Linked DNA regions of Saccharomyces cerevisiae S288C. The protein of the gene in region 2 interacts with the protein of the main gene of each other region in a pairwise test. Each region holds a gene or a part of one and is shown on either strand. Other genes may lie near its edges.

The links. Proteins that work in one complex are often made in the same cells at the same time.
Region 1: the proteins of SEN54 (region 2) and SEN2 interact in binary tests that used the Saccharomyces cerevisiae proteins (3 or more experiments, as listed by UniProt).

The regions. Positions count from the first base shown.
Region 1 is NC_001144.5:342,542-350,180, reverse strand, and holds SEN2 (tRNA splicing endonuclease subunit SEN2), read left to right. Parts: upstream 1-2,000; coding exon 2,001-3,134; downstream 3,135-7,639. Other genes in the region: REA1 (AAA family ATPase midasin), read left to right, coding at 1-1,175; LCL2 (Lcl2p), read right to left, coding at 3,201-3,596; DNA replication initiation factor CDC45, read left to right, coding at 4,240-6,192; APC9 (anaphase promoting complex subunit 9), read left to right, coding at 6,414-7,211; ERG27 (3-keto-steroid reductase), read right to left, coding at 7,328-7,639. UniProt on the Saccharomyces cerevisiae protein: Constitutes one of the two catalytic subunit of the tRNA-splicing endonuclease complex, a complex responsible for identification and cleavage of the splice sites in pre-tRNA. It cleaves pre-tRNA at the 5'- and 3'-splice sites to release the intron.
Region 2 is NC_001148.4:393,099-404,777, reverse strand, and holds SEN54 (tRNA splicing endonuclease subunit SEN54), read left to right. Parts: upstream 1-6,672; coding exon 6,673-8,076; downstream 8,077-11,679. Other genes in the region: MOT1 (DNA-binding ATPase), read left to right, coding at 695-6,298; BRO1 (Bro1p), read right to left, coding at 8,206-10,740; COPII coat assembly protein SEC16, read right to left, coding at 11,124-11,679. UniProt on the Saccharomyces cerevisiae protein: Non-catalytic subunit of the tRNA-splicing endonuclease complex, a complex responsible for identification and cleavage of the splice sites in pre-tRNA. It cleaves pre-tRNA at the 5' and 3' splice sites to release the intron.

The DNA of each region.
Region 1 (7,639 bases), on a different chromosome or scaffold from region 2:
ACATGGCCATTGATGATGATAGGGAGGAGCAAGAAGTGGACCAGAAAGAGTTAGTAGAAGACGCCGATGATGAAAAAATGGATATTGATGAAGAAGAGATGCTATCTGATATCGACGCGCATGACGCTAACAATGACGTTGACAGCAAAAAGTCAGGATTCATCGGTAAAAGAAAGAGTGAGGAAGATTTTGAGAACGAACTTTCAAATGAACACTTCTCGGCTGATCAAGAGGATGACAGTGAAATACAATCTTTAATTGAAAACATTGAGGATAATCCACCTGATGCAAGTGCTAGTTTGACACCGGAAAGATCGTTAGAAGAATCCCGTGAATTGTGGCATAAAAGTGAAATTTCGACCGCCGATTTAGTATCACGTCTTGGAGAACAATTAAGACTAATCTTGGAACCTACCTTGGCTACAAAGCTGAAGGGTGATTACAAAACAGGTAAGAGACTGAATATGAAACGGATCATTCCATATATTGCCTCACAATTCCGTAAAGATAAAATCTGGTTGAGAAGAACTAAACCAAGCAAACGTCAGTATCAAATAATGATTGCGCTTGATGATTCTAAGTCTATGAGCGAATCTAAATGCGTTAAACTCGCTTTTGATAGTTTATGCTTGGTCTCCAAGACGTTAACTCAGCTAGAGGCTGGAGGGTTATCTATTGTCAAATTCGGTGAAAATATTAAAGAAGTTCACTCATTTGACCAACAATTTAGTAACGAATCTGGCGCAAGAGCTTTTCAATGGTTTGGTTTCCAAGAAACTAAAACAGACGTTAAGAAACTTGTGGCTGAATCTACTAAAATTTTTGAACGTGCTCGCGCTATGGTACATAATGACCAATGGCAACTAGAAATTGTAATCTCTGATGGTATTTGCGAAGACCATGAAACAATACAAAAACTGGTCCGCCGTGCTAGAGAAAACAAAATTATGCTGGTTTTTGTCATCATAGATGGTATTACTTCTAATGAATCCATCTTAGACATGAGCCAAGTGAACTACATTCCAGATCAGTATGGCAATCCGCAATTAAAGATTACCAAATACTTGGACACATTTCCTTTTGAATTTTATGTTGTTGTACACGATATAAGCGAACTACCCGAAATGCTTTCACTGATTTTGCGTCAATACTTTACAGACCTGGCATCCAGCTAAGTATATCGTGAAAACCAAGAAGAGGAGGTTTACTACACGAATCAAAGGAACAAAAAAATCATGGAACTGAAAAAAAAAAAAAAAAACTACTGTAAAAAACTACTGTAAACTATAAATTATTAATTAGACTGAACGTATACCTATATAAACCTGATATAAAAATGATTCAAGTTATTAGTCCTTTGCATTTTCTGTTAGCAATCCTTTGTCAATTAGCCCTAAGAAATATTATTCCCATATGGGTAACCAACTCTCTTTTTTTTTTTTTTTGAAGGGATCAATACTTCAGTCAGATATTTAAAGAGAAAAATTTTCTTCAAGATGCAAGTTTCCCATTCAGTTCTATAGGAAGTTAAAACAAAAGAGCTGTTTGAGAGCTCGTAGGCTTTGGTTGTTAAGAGAACGGACTAAATAACACCAGGAGGTGTGTCTAGACTTAGTTGAACGAGTTTTTTCTCGTGCTATTATATCTGTTCTTAATACTTCCACTTTATTTTAATGATGATAGCATGATTTATGTTGCTCGAAGTTAATCGATGTGAGCACAATGATTTCTCAAGACTACAACGGTATCTGAATTTTATTTCTTGTCAAAAATGTTTTATAGAAGCCACTCTTGCTATAGATTTATATTGCCACACATAACTTTTTCACGTAAATTTGAAAGAGCTATATTAGCTGGTGCTTTCACTAACATCTCTTTGCTCTAGTATTTCATTTCGGTGCATAAAACATTTGAACTTCCATCGAAATTCAATATGCTAAAACGTTTCATTGTAACACGACGCTGAAAAGACAATAAGTACGAAGGACTCAAGAAGGAGCATGTCTAAAGGGAGGGTCAATCAGAAGCGTTACAAGTATCCTCTTCCAATTCACCCCGTAGATGACCTTCCAGAGTTAATCCTTCATAATCCGTTATCTTGGCTATATTGGGCATACCGCTATTACAAGAGTACGAACGCACTGAACGATAAAGTACATGTAGATTTTATAGGAGATACCACTCTTCACATCACGGTTCAAGATGACAAGCAAATGCTATATCTTTGGAATAATGGATTTTTTGGCACTGGTCAATTTAGCAGGAGTGAGCCTACATGGAAAGCTAGAACAGAGGCCAGACTGGGTCTCAATGATACTCCCCTCCACAATCGGGGAGGAACAAAGAGTAATACTGAAACGGAGATGACTTTAGAGAAGGTCACACAACAGAGGAGATTACAAAGATTAGAGTTCAAGAAAGAACGTGCGAAGTTAGAAAGAGAATTACTAGAATTAAGAAAAAAAGGTGGTCATATCGATGAGGAAAACATCCTCCTTGAGAAACAACGAGAATCATTAAGAAAATTTAAACTAAAACAAACAGAAGACGTGGGCATCGTTGCACAACAGCAAGACATTTCCGAATCAAATTTAAGAGATGAAGACAACAATCTTCTTGATGAGAACGGTGATCTTTTGCCACTAGAGTCACTAGAACTAATGCCAGTGGAAGCTATGTTTTTAACTTTTGCACTTCCTGTTCTTGACATATCTCCCGCGTGCCTGGCAGGGAAACTGTTTCAATTCGATGCCAAATATAAAGATATTCACTCCTTTGTCAGATCATACGTTATATACCATCACTACAGATCACACGGTTGGTGCGTAAGATCTGGTATAAAATTCGGCTGCGATTATTTATTATATAAGAGAGGGCCACCATTTCAACACGCTGAATTTTGTGTTATGGGTCTTGACCACGACGTCTCTAAAGATTATACGTGGTATTCTAGCATAGCCCGTGTTGTGGGCGGCGCAAAGAAGACGTTTGTGTTATGCTACGTGGAGAGACTAATCTCGGAACAGGAGGCGATAGCACTATGGAAATCAAACAACTTTACTAAATTGTTCAATAGTTTTCAAGTTGGTGAAGTATTGTATAAGAGATGGGTTCCCGGAAGAAATAGAGACTAGAATATCAATGAGAAGATAAATCCTTCGTATGTATATATGTATGTGTATGTATTTTTTATACAGATTTCAATGGTTTTTGTAAGCATCTGATACCCATCCACAATCCCTAAACCCCTTGTTCTTTGCTTTGGGGCCCTTGACAGGGTCATCATATATTGCTCTAAACTTTTCATTGTGTGTGGCTGGTTTGGATATGCAAACAAATTTATTATCAGGAAGGACACATTTCAACTGAGATTTAGGGAAGGGACAAGGACAGTCTTTCTGCTGTGCAACGCACGTTAGGGTGTCCGGACACAAATACCCATCACAAGGGTTATTTAAAACTTGATCTTCATATGATTGTTGCTGTTGCTGTTGCTGTTGCTGATGATGACCGAAATTGAAGAAGGCATTCACTCCAGTGCTGCCAAAAATAAACAATGCAAAGATGAGAACGATACTCCAGCGACTTTGACTCATACTACAGTAAAATTTGGTCGTTTTTTGCCTGGCAAACCATGCCTATTTTTCGTCATTAAAGGTCTTCTGAGCTTTCATCAAAATTATCTCTATAATTATAAAGGACAGCTCAGAGCCACACCCAAACATCTGCAAAGGTAAAGGCCATCTTTCATCTCACATTGCCTAACAAGAAAGTCACATTGCAATTGTTTCGAGAAGAAAACATTAATTCAATTACGTGGTTCCCATGCGTCTGTGTTAAGCGTCAATTTATCATTTGACGAACTCGTTGCAACCACAAACAAAGCAAGGGCCGCATTTATCAAAGGAAAACCAACCAAAAGCATAAATAAACGAGATTTTTATTATGAAAAAGCCATGCGAATCCTACTAGAATAAATTCAAAGTGAAGACATTTAGTCAATTCGATCTTCTCTCTCTTGCTTTAACTAGTCGTAAAACCTAATAAGTTTCATTCACGACGCGTATTTTTTTTTCAACATATCATCTAACGCGTTTTAAGAAATTTCAGTAAATAATGAAGCTGTAGTAATGCCAACAATCCATTGTGGCTACTTTATACAACGCACTATAGAGCAATAAAAGTGTAGCAATAAACACTAGAGAGAAGGCACATAATAACAAGAATATACTCTCGCACATGTATTATGGAATCAGCCAGTTTAGCGAAGCCTACAACAAAATCTTAAGGAATTCATCGTCTCATTCATCATGTCAATTGGTCATTTTCGTTTCTTGTCTTAACATCGATGCGCTGTGTGCGACGAAGATGTTGTCACTATTATTCAAAAAACAATTGGTACAATCTCAAATAGTACCGATATTTGGGTACTCTGAATTACGACGCCACTATTCTCAATTGGATGACAATATAAATAGTCTGCTATTAGTAGGGTTTGGAGGCGTTATTGATCTGGAGGCTTTCTTAGAAATCGATCCCCAAGAGTATGTTATCGATACAGATGAAAAGTCGGGGGAACAAAGTTTCAGGAGAGACATCTACGTGTTGGATGCTCATAGACCGTGGAATCTCGACAATATATTTGGATCACAAATCATCCAATGTTTTGACGACGGTACGGTGGATGACACATTAGGCGAACAAAAAGAAGCATACTATAAATTGCTTGAACTGGACGAGGAGAGTGGTGACGATGAGCTCTCAGGTGACGAGAACGATAATAATGGGGGTGACGATGAGGCAACTGATGCCGATGAAGTCACAGACGAGGACGAAGAAGACGAAGATGAGACAATATCTAATAAAAGAGGTAATTCTTCAATAGGACCGAATGATCTCTCAAAAAGAAAGCAACGAAAGAAGCAAATCCATGAATATGAAGGTGTTTTGGAGGAATACTATTCTCAAGGCACAACAGTGGTTAACTCGATATCTGCACAAATCTATTCATTATTGTCTGCTATCGGAGAAACAAATCTTTCAAACCTGTGGTTGAATATACTTGGTACGACCTCGTTAGATATAGCATATGCTCAAGTTTACAATCGATTATACCCCTTATTGCAAGATGAAGTGAAGCGTCTCACACCAAGCAGTAGAAACTCAGTAAAGACCCCTGATACATTGACGTTAAACATCCAACCGGATTACTACCTTTTCTTACTGAGGCATTCTTCATTGTACGACAGTTTTTATTATTCTAACTATGTCAATGCCAAACTATCCCTATGGAATGAAAATGGGAAAAAGAGATTGCATAAGATGTTTGCTAGAATGGGTATACCATTAAGTACTGCACAAGAAACATGGTTATACATGGATCATTCTATTAAGAGAGAACTTGGGATAATATTTGACAAAAATTTGGATCGTTATGGGTTGCAAGATATAATTAGAGATGGGTTTGTTAGAACTCTTGGATATCGTGGGTCCATAAGTGCCAGTGAATTTGTCGAAGCACTAACAGCTCTTTTGGAAGTAGGTAATTCAACTGATAAGGATAGTGTGAAAATAAATAATGACAATAATGACGATACAGATGGAGAGGAAGAAGAAGATAACAGCGCTCAAAAATTGACGAATTTGAGAAAAAGATGGGTTTCGAATTTTTGGCTCAGTTGGGATGCTCTAGATGACAGAAAGGTGGAACTATTAAACCGTGGCATTCAACTAGCACAAGACTTACAGAGAGCAATTTTTAATACCGGGGTTGCTATATTGGAGAAGAAATTAATCAAGCATTTAAGAATTTATAGATTATGCGTCTTACAAGACGGACCCGATTTAGACTTGTACAGAAACCCATTGACGTTATTAAGATTAGGAAATTGGCTCATAGAATGCTGTGCGGAATCTGAAGACAAGCAATTGTTGCCCATGGTGCTTGCCAGCATAGATGAAAATACGGACACTTACTTGGTTGCTGGGTTAACACCTAGGTATCCTCGCGGACTAGACACGATACACACAAAAAAACCTATTTTGAATAATTTCAGCATGGCGTTTCAACAAATAACTGCAGAAACGGATGCTAAAGTGAGAATAGATAATTTTGAAAGTTCCATAATTGAAATACGTCGTGAAGATCTTTCACCATTCCTGGAGAAGCTGACCTTGAGTGGATTGTTATAATCAAATTTATATTATTTAGTCGTACATATATACCAGCATATGAATATAAAATCTAAGCTTTTTCAAGCTTTTAAGTCCAACTTTTCTATAATAATACCATATTTTGTGCGCGGCTCTTGACAAAACAAAAAAAAAAACCTAAATAAAAGGAAATTAAGAACAGGGAACTAGGTTTGGAAGGACAAATTCAGGAAGGAAAGAAATAGCTGTGACAAAGTAAGATGAACCAAAATGGTGATAAGAACGAAGGCAAGTTGTTTCAACTACCGTCATTGCCGCCCTGGAAAACACCAAGGTTCAACAAAGCCAACTTTAACAATTTTACCACACCGCTACGGAAAAGGTCGACAAGGGTAATAAATGATGATTCGATGCCCATAACAGGCGAAGTACTAGAGGAGAGGACTGCAGATGATCTCTATGGGATAAATATGGACGTAGACGAAGTCGACTATCTGAATACTTTGAGCCACATCGAGGAAGAAAAGCAATACGATTATTCACCGTTTTGTGAGCGCAATACGCTAAGGGAAAGTAGAATTGACAGTTTTTTGAAAGCCGAAAGGGCAGCACATTGTCTTGTGTTTCATAAGGTGGGCCATCTAGACGGCATAGACAGCTATCGACCCGATATTGACATCATGTGCGGCGAAGAGGCTAATAAATATGACAGTGCGAATCCGGAGGGCAATGGTTCAATGTTGTTAGAGAGTGTACCTGGATGCAACAAAGAAGACCTGGAGAGGTTATCAAGGCGAGAATTTGTAACAAATTCGAAACCTAATATGAGACGGTTGGATGACATAATAAATCATGAAACGAACGCCTTAAAAAGTTTCTGGAACGACTCAGGATTAGTCAATTCACTCCAAAGTCATCATTTGCATGAAGAGTACCTTCTTTTGCAAGAAGAATTAAAGAATGTGTACAAGATTAAATGCCATGACAGAGTGCCAATAGAAAGTCTACGCGATAAGTGCAGAAGACACTATAGCAACGAGGATAGTTCGTTTCTCTGACAGAGGCAATGCCTTTTTTGCTTCACGTGTATATATATCAGTTGATATGCGTTTTCTATACAGACATACATGTATATACACACATATATATATATACATATGTACGCAGAGATATATTAAATGGGGGTTCTAGTTTCAACAATTTGATCTTTCAGTTTCTCGTCCCATTCCAGTTTCTTCTTCTGTATATAAGCGAAGACATCAGACATTCCAGTAGGGTCTATTTCCTGCGTCTTGATATATGGCATACCATCCCTAGAGGTAGCAGAACCGTATTTTACGTCTTGTTTCTCAAAGTTTGGATTGGCCAATCTAGTTACGTATACTGGGGCATTGGCAGCTTTATAACCATCAATATTGTGCCATGGAGACCCCAACAGCCTGGCCAAATAGAACAAGCATAGCATGCCGAAATAGGTGAAAAAATT
Region 2 (11,679 bases):
AAAAAAAAAAAAAAAAAACGAAAAGTAAATGAAAAGAAAAAAAATAATTTTTTTAGAATGATGCATGGGTGTGCAGCCTTTTTTAGATTGTCTAGGCAAGACACATTTCACCTGATATTGAAGAATGCAACCTCTTTCATAATGCAAGCGCGAAATTGAATAATCTTTCTTATAACTCCTGTACAGAGGGCATTGCCGGTAATGATGGGCTTAAAATATTTAGACTTGTAACCGTAGTCACCCCTGTGAGCGTCTAACCACTCTTTTGTGCCAATGCCCCCCTTCCCTATTTTGCATGTGGCCTTGATCAATAGCTGACACTATAAGGCAAGTACACGATTGCAACACTGCAGGGTACGGTACCCGCACGTTGGACGGCGGGCCCCAGGCGCAAAGACAACGCGTCTACCGCCTCATCGCAAAAACCCAAAAGTAAAAAAAGCACGTCCCACTCGCCGGCCGCTGCACTTGATATAAAAGCTTATGATTTCCACCAATTCCGTTCCCTTGGCGGTTTGCGCGCCATTTTCTATTGCGCTCAGAAAAAAACCACCATTCTGCTATTATAGCTCTGAACACACAGCTCGGCGGTTATTTTGATTTGCTTTTAGAGTCCTTCAGAACATAAAATATAAGTAGCGATCGTATTCCAATATTAACGAACAAAAGTATCACAACACACACAGCACCTCAAATGACGTCACGAGTTTCGAGGCTGGACCGGCAGGTAATATTAATAGAGACCGGTTCCACCCAAGTAGTCCGGAACATGGCTGCCGATCAAATGGGAGACTTGGCCAAACAGCACCCCGAAGACATTCTTTCGTTGCTGTCCAGAGTTTACCCCTTTTTACTAGTGAAGAAATGGGAAACGCGTGTTACTGCAGCAAGAGCTGTGGGTGGCATAGTTGCCCATGCTCCTTCTTGGGATCCGAATGAATCTGACTTGGTAGGTGGTACAAATGAAGGTTCTCCATTGGATAATGCTCAGGTGAAGTTGGAACATGAAATGAAAATAAAATTGGAAGAGGCTACTCAGAACAATCAGTTGAATCTCTTACAGGAGGACCATCACCTCAGTTCTCTGTCTGATTGGAAATTGAACGAAATTTTAAAGTCAGGTAAAGTGCTCCTGGCGTCGAGTATGAATGATTACAATGTTCTTGGTAAGGCTGACGATAATATAAGAAAACAAGCTAAAACTGATGATATAAAACAGGAAACATCTATGCTAAATGCGTCTGATAAGGCGAATGAAAATAAAAGTAATGCTAACAAGAAGTCAGCAAGGATGCTTGCTATGGCAAGGCGAAAAAAGAAAATGAGTGCTAAGAATACTCCCAAACATCCTGTAGATATAACGGAAAGTTCAGTTTCCAAGACTTTATTAAATGGAAAAAATATGACCAATTCTGCTGCATCGCTAGCCACTTCTCCCACCAGTAACCAGCTAAATCCCAAACTGGAGATTACTGAACAAGCCGATGAAAGTAAACTAATGATAGAATCCACAGTAAGGCCATTGCTAGAACAACACGAAATTGTTGCTGGCCTAGTTTGGCAATTCCAAGGCATTTATGAACTACTTTTAGATAATCTAATGAGCGAAAATTGGGAAATAAGGCATGGAGCTGCGTTGGGTCTTCGAGAATTGGTAAAAAAACATGCTTATGGAGTCAGCAGGGTTAAGGGGAATACCCGAGAGGAGAACAACCTGAGGAATTCTAGAAGCTTAGAAGACTTGGCGTCCCGTCTACTTACAGTATTTGCATTGGATAGATTTGGTGATTATGTTTATGATACAGTTGTGGCCCCTGTACGAGAGTCAGTTGCGCAAACTCTAGCTGCGTTATTAATTCACCTAGACAGTACCTTATCAATTAAAATATTTAATTGTTTAGAACAACTGGTTCTACAAGATCCACTACAAACAGGTCTACCGAACAAAATATGGGAAGCTACCCATGGAGGGCTTTTAGGGATTCGTTACTTCGTCAGCATAAAGACAAATTTCCTATTTGCCCATGGCCTTTTAGAAAACGTTGTCCGTATAGTGCTATATGGTTTAAACCAAAGTGATGATGACGTTCAAAGCGTAGCAGCCTCAATTTTAACCCCAATAACCAGCGAATTTGTCAAATTAAACAACTCTACCATAGAAATTTTGGTGACCACGATATGGTCATTACTAGCTCGTTTAGATGATGATATATCTTCAAGCGTAGGTTCTATAATGGATCTATTGGCAAAGTTGTGCGACCACCAAGAAGTACTAGATATTTTAAAGAACAAGGCTTTAGAGCATCCTTCAGAGTGGTCATTCAAGTCACTGGTACCGAAATTGTATCCCTTTTTACGCCATTCGATTTCTTCTGTGAGGAGGGCTGTTTTGAATCTACTGATTGCATTCTTATCAATAAAGGATGATTCTACTAAAAACTGGTTAAACGGCAAGGTATTCCGTCTAGTTTTTCAGAATATTTTACTGGAGCAAAACCCGGAACTATTGCAACTGTCTTTTGATGTTTATGTTGCGTTATTGGAGCATTATAAAGTTAAGCATACCGAAAAAACTTTAGATCATGTTTTCAGTAAACATTTGCAGCCAATACTACATCTTCTAAATACGCCAGTAGGGGAAAAGGGAAAGAATTATGCCATGGAATCACAATATATTCTAAAGCCTTCCCAGCACTATCAATTACATCCAGAAAAAAAACGTTCTATATCTGAAACCACAACAGATTCTGACATTCCAATACCAAAAAATAATGAACATATCAATATCGATGCACCTATGATTGCTGGAGATATTACTTTGCTAGGATTGGACGTAATATTGAACACTAGAATAATGGGAGCAAAGGCATTTGCTTTGACATTGTCAATGTTTCAAGATTCCACGCTTCAATCCTTCTTCACAAACGTTCTGGTTCGTTGTTTAGAGCTGCCATTCTCAACTCCACGTATGTTGGCAGGCATTATTGTTTCACAGTTTTGCTCCTCGTGGTTACAAAAGCATCCAGAAGGGGAAAAATTACCTTCTTTTGTATCAGAGATTTTCAGTCCTGTGATGAATAAACAGTTACTGAATCGCGATGAATTTCCTGTATTTAGGGAGCTAGTACCTAGCTTAAAAGCTCTGAGGACTCAATGTCAAAGCCTACTGGCTACCTTTGTGGATGTAGGTATGTTACCTCAGTACAAACTACCCAACGTAGCAATTGTGGTTCAAGGCGAAACAGAAGCCGGTCCACATGCGTTTGGTGTTGAAACAGCAGAAAAAGTGTACGGCGAATACTATGATAAAATGTTCAAATCCATGAACAACTCTTACAAACTATTGGCCAAGAAGCCATTAGAAGATTCTAAGCATCGCGTGTTGATGGCAATCAATTCAGCCAAAGAATCCGCAAAACTTCGTACAGGCAGCATTCTCGCTAATTACGCATCATCCATCTTGTTATTTGATGGTCTACCTCTTAAATTAAACCCCATTATCAGGTCGCTAATGGACAGTGTTAAAGAAGAAAGGAATGAAAAGTTACAAACGATGGCCGGAGAATCGGTCGTACATTTGATTCAGCAACTGTTAGAAAATAATAAAGTTAATGTGTCTGGTAAGATAGTCAAAAATCTCTGCGGATTTTTATGCGTTGATACTTCAGAAGTTCCTGATTTCTCCGTAAATGCAGAATATAAAGAAAAAATATTGACGTTAATAAAAGAATCTAATTCGATTGCCGCACAAGATGACATTAATCTCGCAAAGATGTCGGAAGAGGCTCAACTAAAAAGGAAGGGTGGGTTGATTACGTTAAAAATACTATTTGAAGTTCTTGGGCCTTCTATATTACAGAAACTACCTCAGCTTAGATCGATTTTATTTGATTCATTATCTGATCATGAAAATGAGGAAGCAAGTAAAGTTGACAACGAGCAAGGTCAAAAAATAGTCGACTCATTTGGTGTACTAAGAGCTCTATTCCCATTTATGTCTGATTCGCTACGTTCTAGTGAGGTTTTTACCCGTTTCCCTGTTTTATTAACGTTCTTAAGATCAAACTTATCTGTTTTTCGTTATTCAGCTGCAAGAACTTTTGCTGATCTGGCTAAAATTTCCTCCGTGGAGGTAATGGCTTACACCATACGTGAGATTTTGCCTTTAATGAATAGCGCTGGTTCTCTATCCGATCGTCAAGGGTCCACGGAGCTTATTTATCATTTATCACTTTCTATGGAAACCGATGTTCTACCTTACGTCATTTTCTTAATAGTTCCACTTTTGGGTCGCATGAGTGATTCGAACGAAGATGTGAGGAATTTAGCTACAACAACATTTGCTTCTATCATCAAATTAGTTCCTTTAGAAGCTGGTATCGCCGATCCAAAAGGACTCCCAGAAGAACTAGTGGCAAGCAGAGAGAGGGAGCGTGATTTTATCCAACAAATGATGGATCCTTCTAAAGCTAAGCCATTTAAATTACCCATTGCCATCAAGGCGACTTTAAGAAAATATCAGCAAGATGGTGTTAACTGGTTGGCATTCCTGAACAAATATCATCTACATGGAATATTGTGTGACGATATGGGTTTGGGTAAAACATTACAAACCATCTGCATTATCGCAAGCGATCAATATTTGAGGAAGGAAGATTATGAAAAAACGCGTTCTGTTGAAAGTAGAGCCTTACCATCTCTCATAATATGCCCCCCATCTTTAACTGGCCATTGGGAAAACGAGTTTGACCAGTATGCTCCCTTTTTAAAGGTTGTTGTGTATGCCGGTGGCCCAACTGTCAGATTAACTCTGAGACCACAGTTAAGTGATGCTGATATTATTGTAACATCATATGACGTAGCTAGAAATGATCTCGCAGTCCTAAACAAAACTGAATATAATTATTGTGTTTTGGATGAAGGACATATAATTAAAAACTCTCAATCAAAACTTGCTAAGGCTGTTAAAGAAATTACTGCAAACCATAGATTAATTTTAACCGGAACTCCCATCCAAAACAACGTTTTAGAATTGTGGTCTCTGTTTGACTTCTTAATGCCGGGATTTTTGGGAACGGAAAAGATGTTCCAGGAAAGGTTCGCAAAGCCAATCGCTGCGTCAAGAAATAGTAAAACATCATCTAAGGAGCAGGAAGCAGGTGTACTGGCTTTGGAGGCACTACATAAGCAAGTTCTACCTTTCATGCTGAGAAGATTGAAGGAAGACGTTCTATCTGATTTACCACCTAAAATTATTCAGGATTACTACTGTGAATTAGGTGATTTACAAAAACAACTATACATGGATTTTACTAAAAAACAAAAAAATGTAGTTGAGAAAGATATTGAAAATTCTGAGATTGCTGATGGCAAGCAACATATTTTCCAAGCTTTACAATACATGAGAAAATTGTGTAATCATCCAGCTTTGGTCCTTTCACCAAATCACCCGCAATTAGCGCAAGTACAAGACTATTTAAAGCAAACTGGTCTAGATTTACACGATATTATCAACGCTCCAAAACTGAGCGCATTGAGAACATTACTCTTTGAATGTGGTATAGGTGAAGAAGATATCGACAAAAAAGCAAGCCAAGATCAGAATTTTCCTATTCAAAATGTCATATCACAACACAGAGCCCTGATTTTCTGCCAACTAAAAGATATGCTAGACATGGTTGAAAATGACTTGTTTAAAAAGTATATGCCCTCCGTAACCTATATGAGGCTAGATGGAAGCATTGACCCAAGAGACAGACAAAAAGTTGTTCGGAAATTTAACGAAGATCCCTCTATTGATTGCCTACTGTTGACCACCAAGGTCGGAGGGCTGGGTCTGAATTTAACTGGTGCAGACACCGTCATTTTTGTAGAGCATGACTGGAATCCAATGAATGATCTACAGGCAATGGACAGAGCACATAGAATTGGTCAGAAAAAGGTTGTTAATGTTTACAGAATTATTACGAAAGGTACGCTTGAAGAAAAAATCATGGGTTTGCAGAAATTCAAAATGAATATAGCTTCTACAGTTGTTAATCAGCAAAACAGTGGATTAGCATCCATGGATACACATCAGCTGCTTGATCTCTTCGACCCCGATAACGTTACCTCACAGGACAATGAGGAAAAGAATAATGGCGATTCCCAAGCAGCCAAGGGCATGGAAGATATTGCCAACGAGACTGGTTTAACTGGCAAAGCCAAAGAGGCCCTCGGTGAATTGAAAGAGCTATGGGACCCATCTCAATACGAGGAGGAGTATAATTTAGACACCTTCATCAAAACTTTACGATAAACAAATTCTTGCATTGGAATGACGCGTATACAAGGTCATTTTTGTTTTATTTAACGCATTTATGTATTATCAACTTGTAATATAATACGGTATATTAATGGAGTCTTATAGAATTTACGGGTATATTCAAATCAGTATTGATAATGTTTTCATATTCTCTTGTTAAAATTCAGGTTATTAGCTGTCTATTGATTATGGCTTGGACTTTTTTTTTATTTTATTATTTTTCATAGTTAAGTTGCGCCAAAGGGAAACTAGAAACAGTTTAGTCGAACTCTGCAGAGCTTCATCTCAGTATGAAAAATTATTCATTTGAGCTATCGAAACGTTTGGATATAAACATACATAAAACCTCTGTTCTTCTGCCAATTTAAATGCAATTCGCTGGGAAGAAAACTGATCAAGTGACCACATCTAATCCGGGCTTTGAAGAAGAAGAAGAAGAAGAAGAAGAACTACAACAAGATTGGTCGCAACTCGCATCGCTCGTTAGCAAAAATGCTGCTCTTTCACTTCCAAAGAGGGGTGAAAAAGACTATGAACCAGATGGGACTAATTTGCAAGATCTGCTTCTCTATAATGCAAGTAAAGCCATGTTTGATACCATATCAGACTCAATAAGAGGCACAACAGTAAAATCTGAAGTAAGAGGATACTATGTTCCCCATAAACATCAAGCCGTTCTACTTAAACCCAAAGGCAGCTTTATGCAAACGATGGGAAGGGCTGATAGCACAGGCGAACTCTGGCTTGACTTCCATGAGTTTGTTTATTTGGCAGAGAGAGGCACTATTCTTCCTTATTATAGATTAGAAGCAGGCTCTAACAAAAGCTCAAAGCACGAAACAGAGATTTTACTCAGTATGGAGGATTTGTATTCGCTGTTTTCATCGCAACAGGAAATGGACCAATATTTTGTGTTTGCTCATTTAAAAAGGTTGGGTTTTATTCTAAAACCCAGCAATCAAGAAGCAGCAGTCAAGACTTCCTTTTTCCCATTGAAAAAGCAACGAAGTAATTTACAAGCAATCACTTGGAGATTACTTTCATTGTTTAAAATACAAGAGTTATCGCTGTTTAGTGGTTTCTTCTATTCTAAGTGGAATTTTTTTTTTCGTAAATATACGACTTCACCACAGTTATACCAGGGTTTAAATAGGCTTGTTCGTTCCGTGGCTGTACCAAAGAATAAAAAAGAGCTATTGGATGCACAATCTGATAGGGAATTTCAAAAGGTAAAGGATATTCCCTTGACATTTAAAGTATGGAAACCCCATTCTAATTTCAAGAAAAGAGACCCCGGTCTTCCTGATTTCCAAGTTTTCGTTTACAATAAAAATGACGATCTTCAGCATTTTCCTACCTATAAAGAGCTGCGATCTATGTTTTCCTCACTTGATTATAAATTCGAATTTTTAAGCGAAATCGAGGATGATGACGATTGGGAGACAAACTCCTACGTTGAAGATATCCCACGAAAGGAATATATTCATAAGAGGAGCGCGAAATCTCAAACTGAAAAAAGTGAGTCGTCTATGAAAGCAAGTTTTCAAAAAAAAACTGCACAGTCTAGCACGAAAAAGAAGAGAAAGGCGTACCCACCTCACATACAGCAAAATCGTAGATTGAAGACGGGATATCGGAGCTTTATTATCGCTATTATGGATAATGGCCTTATTTCGTTTGTAAAAATGTCCGAGGCTGATTTTGGATCTGAAAGTGTATGGTATACACCTAATACTCAAAAGAAAGTAGATCAAAGATGGAAGAAGCATTAAAGGGACTTTTGCTAAATCGCAGTTTCTTTATCCTTGCAAAACTGGCTTTCAACAAATCCGGTATATATATAATTATCATATTAGTTGAAAAAAAAAAGCTACAATAAAATTAAGAAATAAGAAATGCACCTAACTGCTGTATTTGGAGTACATATTTTCATCAAAAACAGAGGGTCTATTGTAAAAGGACGTAGGATTCTCTTGCAGTTCACGTTCTTCGTTTTCAACTGCTTTACGTCTTCTCAAGTCGTACATATCCTCTTGCGATTGTTTCGGTGGTACTGGTGGGGCTGCCATAGTAGGCGTTGCAGCATATGGCGAAGCTTCATAAGTTCTTGGTGGAATACCGGGTCCTTGAGGTAAATCACTGCCGGCACTTATTTTGAGATTTTGAAATTGGTCCCCTAAATTGAGCCCTTGTCTAGATAATGACTGAAAGGCTGCACTTTTTTGGGGCAGTAATGGAGGACCCCCAACGACAGACGCTTTAGAATCAAGTGGAGGGAGGGGAGGAGCGGGAGAATTAGCTGTTGAATCCTCGGTCTGCTTTGCAACTCTCACTCTTTCTGCTAAGTCTCTACTCATATTGAATAATGAATCATAGAACTCTATTCCTTTTGGCAAGTCGGATGCAAAAATACTGAATGATTTCACTGCTTCTTGCAGCTTATCAAAAAAATTCTTACGATCTTCTAAAAATTTTTCTTCCCCAGAAGATTTATCCTTGAAATTTGAAAGGTGAAAAATTTCATCTAGCTTGGCTTTGATGTCATCTATCATTGAAGATTGTTTGTAAATTGTCGCCTCTATTCTTGTGCTCAAAGGCTCGAATTTCTCCAGTTCCACCTCGAATAAATCTTTGAGCTCAACATCGGATTTCCCCTTATTAATAATTAATAATTTTGTGATATCATCGTTGTTGATTTCGTCTCTTAGTTCAGACAAATTTCTCGAACGTTCCTCTTTCAATGTTCTTAAGTCTTCCGCATGGCCCTTTACTTGTTTTAACAACTCTAATATCTTGTCGTTTTTGGTATCATCGATATCCAATAGGCTAGGTTGTGGAGGCGTATTGCGATTAAATTCGTCAAACTTCTTCCATATTTTTCCATTGTCATTCAATAGATTGATCTCGACAATATGTGGTTTTACGCATGCGAACAATTTTTCGTCTGAGTTTGAAGCAGCTACTAAAGAAGATTTTAGTTTTGTAACATTTTCTTTTTGATCATTGGGTAAGGCAGAAAGGATTTCTAAAATTTGTTTCCTTTTGAAAACAATTTTGTTCATCTGTTCTTCTATATCCCTAAATTCATTTGTTTGGATAAATTTACACCATGTCTGAATTTGGTCCCTCATCAATTGTCCCTGTGTATCCGTATTCGAGAAAATATTTCCGTCACTAAATTGTTTTTCCAAATCACTCAAGAGCCTGGGTAGATTTGTAAATTCGATGAAGGAAGAATATTCCAAATTTGCTGTCTCAGTTTCTTCAACTTGCTTTCTCAACAGCGTCGCTTTTTCTTCTGAGTAAATACTTTCCTTTTCATAGACATCTAGGGGAATAATTCCTCTGTACAAAGAGTCACATTTATTTGCAACATCTTGCATATATGGTTCTAATATCTTCTCCCATGTTGGAGATTTTATTGCATCGAGCGCCTTAATGGAATCAACCTGCACAACGGCTGGAACGCTTTCATGATATATAAAATCGTTATCTTTAATCAACTCCTTTTGTTTCTTTTCTAAAGTTTCTTTAAACCCATCAAAGTCTATAAATTCCACTAACCACGTTTTGAATGGAAGGGATGAAATCAATTGTTGCATAGAAAAATCGAGAAAAGCAATTGCTTCGCCAACTCTATTTTCTTCTTCAAGGTGTAAACCGTGATAATAAGCGCTTAACGATTTGTAGAAATGCAGTTTGCAAGTAACTGTCGTTTTCCATTTGGGTTCACCATAAATGGCCACATCGTCATCTATTTCTTTCATAAAATCGTGACATTTCTGAAAGAGGTTACACGTGGCTCTAGAAAGTTTACTGATTAATGTATATTGCTTGGATGATATTTGATCATTTAATAATTTCAAGACAAACAATTCTTGAGCTTCTGCATGGCAAATATTAGCCAGAAACCTAGTGTTTTCTGACTGAAGATCGACTGAAGGTGAGTTCAAAAAATTTTCTGATAGATATTCAAAACAGGAAAAAGCTTTTGTCAAATTTGCGATTGAGTTTTTGTAGTCCTCATTGATATTCTCCCTCGCAATTTGGGTAAAGATTACAGCAATGTTGAACAAAGTACAAGACTTTTCAAATGCTAACGTATGTTGCGTGTATTTCAATCCTTTCTGGGCCGATGAGTATTCTGCGTCATACCAAGTGAAATCCATTTTTAATCTTGATCCTTTGCTACCCAGGCGAAAATAAAGATGCTCCAAAAATGAGTAATATTTTAGATTTTGTTCCGACAATGAAGAAGGTGCTAGTTCTCCATTTGCATTATTCCTTAAGTGATCCAGTTCTGAAGTAGCTTTCTCATCATAAAATGTTCTCCATTGTGAGGAGCCGTATGATTTCTTGAGATATGAGGAGAGGCCTTTTTTCCAATCCAGCTTCTCTGTGTCTTTTAGCTTTAGGTCAAATAAGTAAGGTTTCATGAGTAGAACCAGTGAGTAATGAACCTAGTAATGCTCCAGTCAGCCGCTTTCTGATTCAAGATTTTTCCACGACAACCCCCTTAGTACTTCTTCGAATTGTAACTGAAGCCTTGCTTGCTTTCTGTTTCTCGGTGATCCTAACCCGGAACCGGCGTCCTGCATTAATCGAAGCAAGAAAATGAGGTATGATAGAATAATATTAGTATAAGCAAAGTTTCAGATCGCATTCATCTGATTTCTTACTGACAACGATGCATAACCTAAATACGGATTCCTGTAATCATTGTTTTAATAAAATTTACTACGGTTTTTATAAGTATATAATATACATCAAGAAAAGGGAAGGCATAAGGGTACCATGAAAGAAAAACGTATTACTATAATTATTGTATGTTATCCATTACATTAACATAGCCTCTCGCTGTTTTCTTCTTCCTTCTCGTACTTGCTGGTTTGGGTCCTCCTGCCAAACTCAATAAATCATCCAAACCGTTTGCCTTTTTGCTAGTCAAGTTTACGCCAGAAATCCTTGATATGGGAGAGGATGGTGATGGAGAATTGTTTGGATTGGGTCCTGTAGGAGAAGGGGATGTTTTGATCGGCAAAGGCTCACCAGTGATTGGATTGTTCGGAATAACTGATGTGGCATGTACTGGAGGTAGGGAATTATTGATGGGGCCTGAACGTGGCTTTGTCTTTGGGCCGCCATCTTTACGTTTCACGATTGGAGGAGGTGGTGGTGCCGAACTTTCAATAATTTTTTGTTTTTCCTCTTCGGTTGCGTCCTTATTCACCCAACGTTTCAATTTTTCATCATAGTATAGTGTGTTTTTATGACCTAGCTTGGCCTTATACACTTTTTTGTCGCCAGTATCTTTCTTCAACCAACCAAACCAACCATTAGACTTGTCATCTATGTCCTTGTTACTTGGTTTTGTT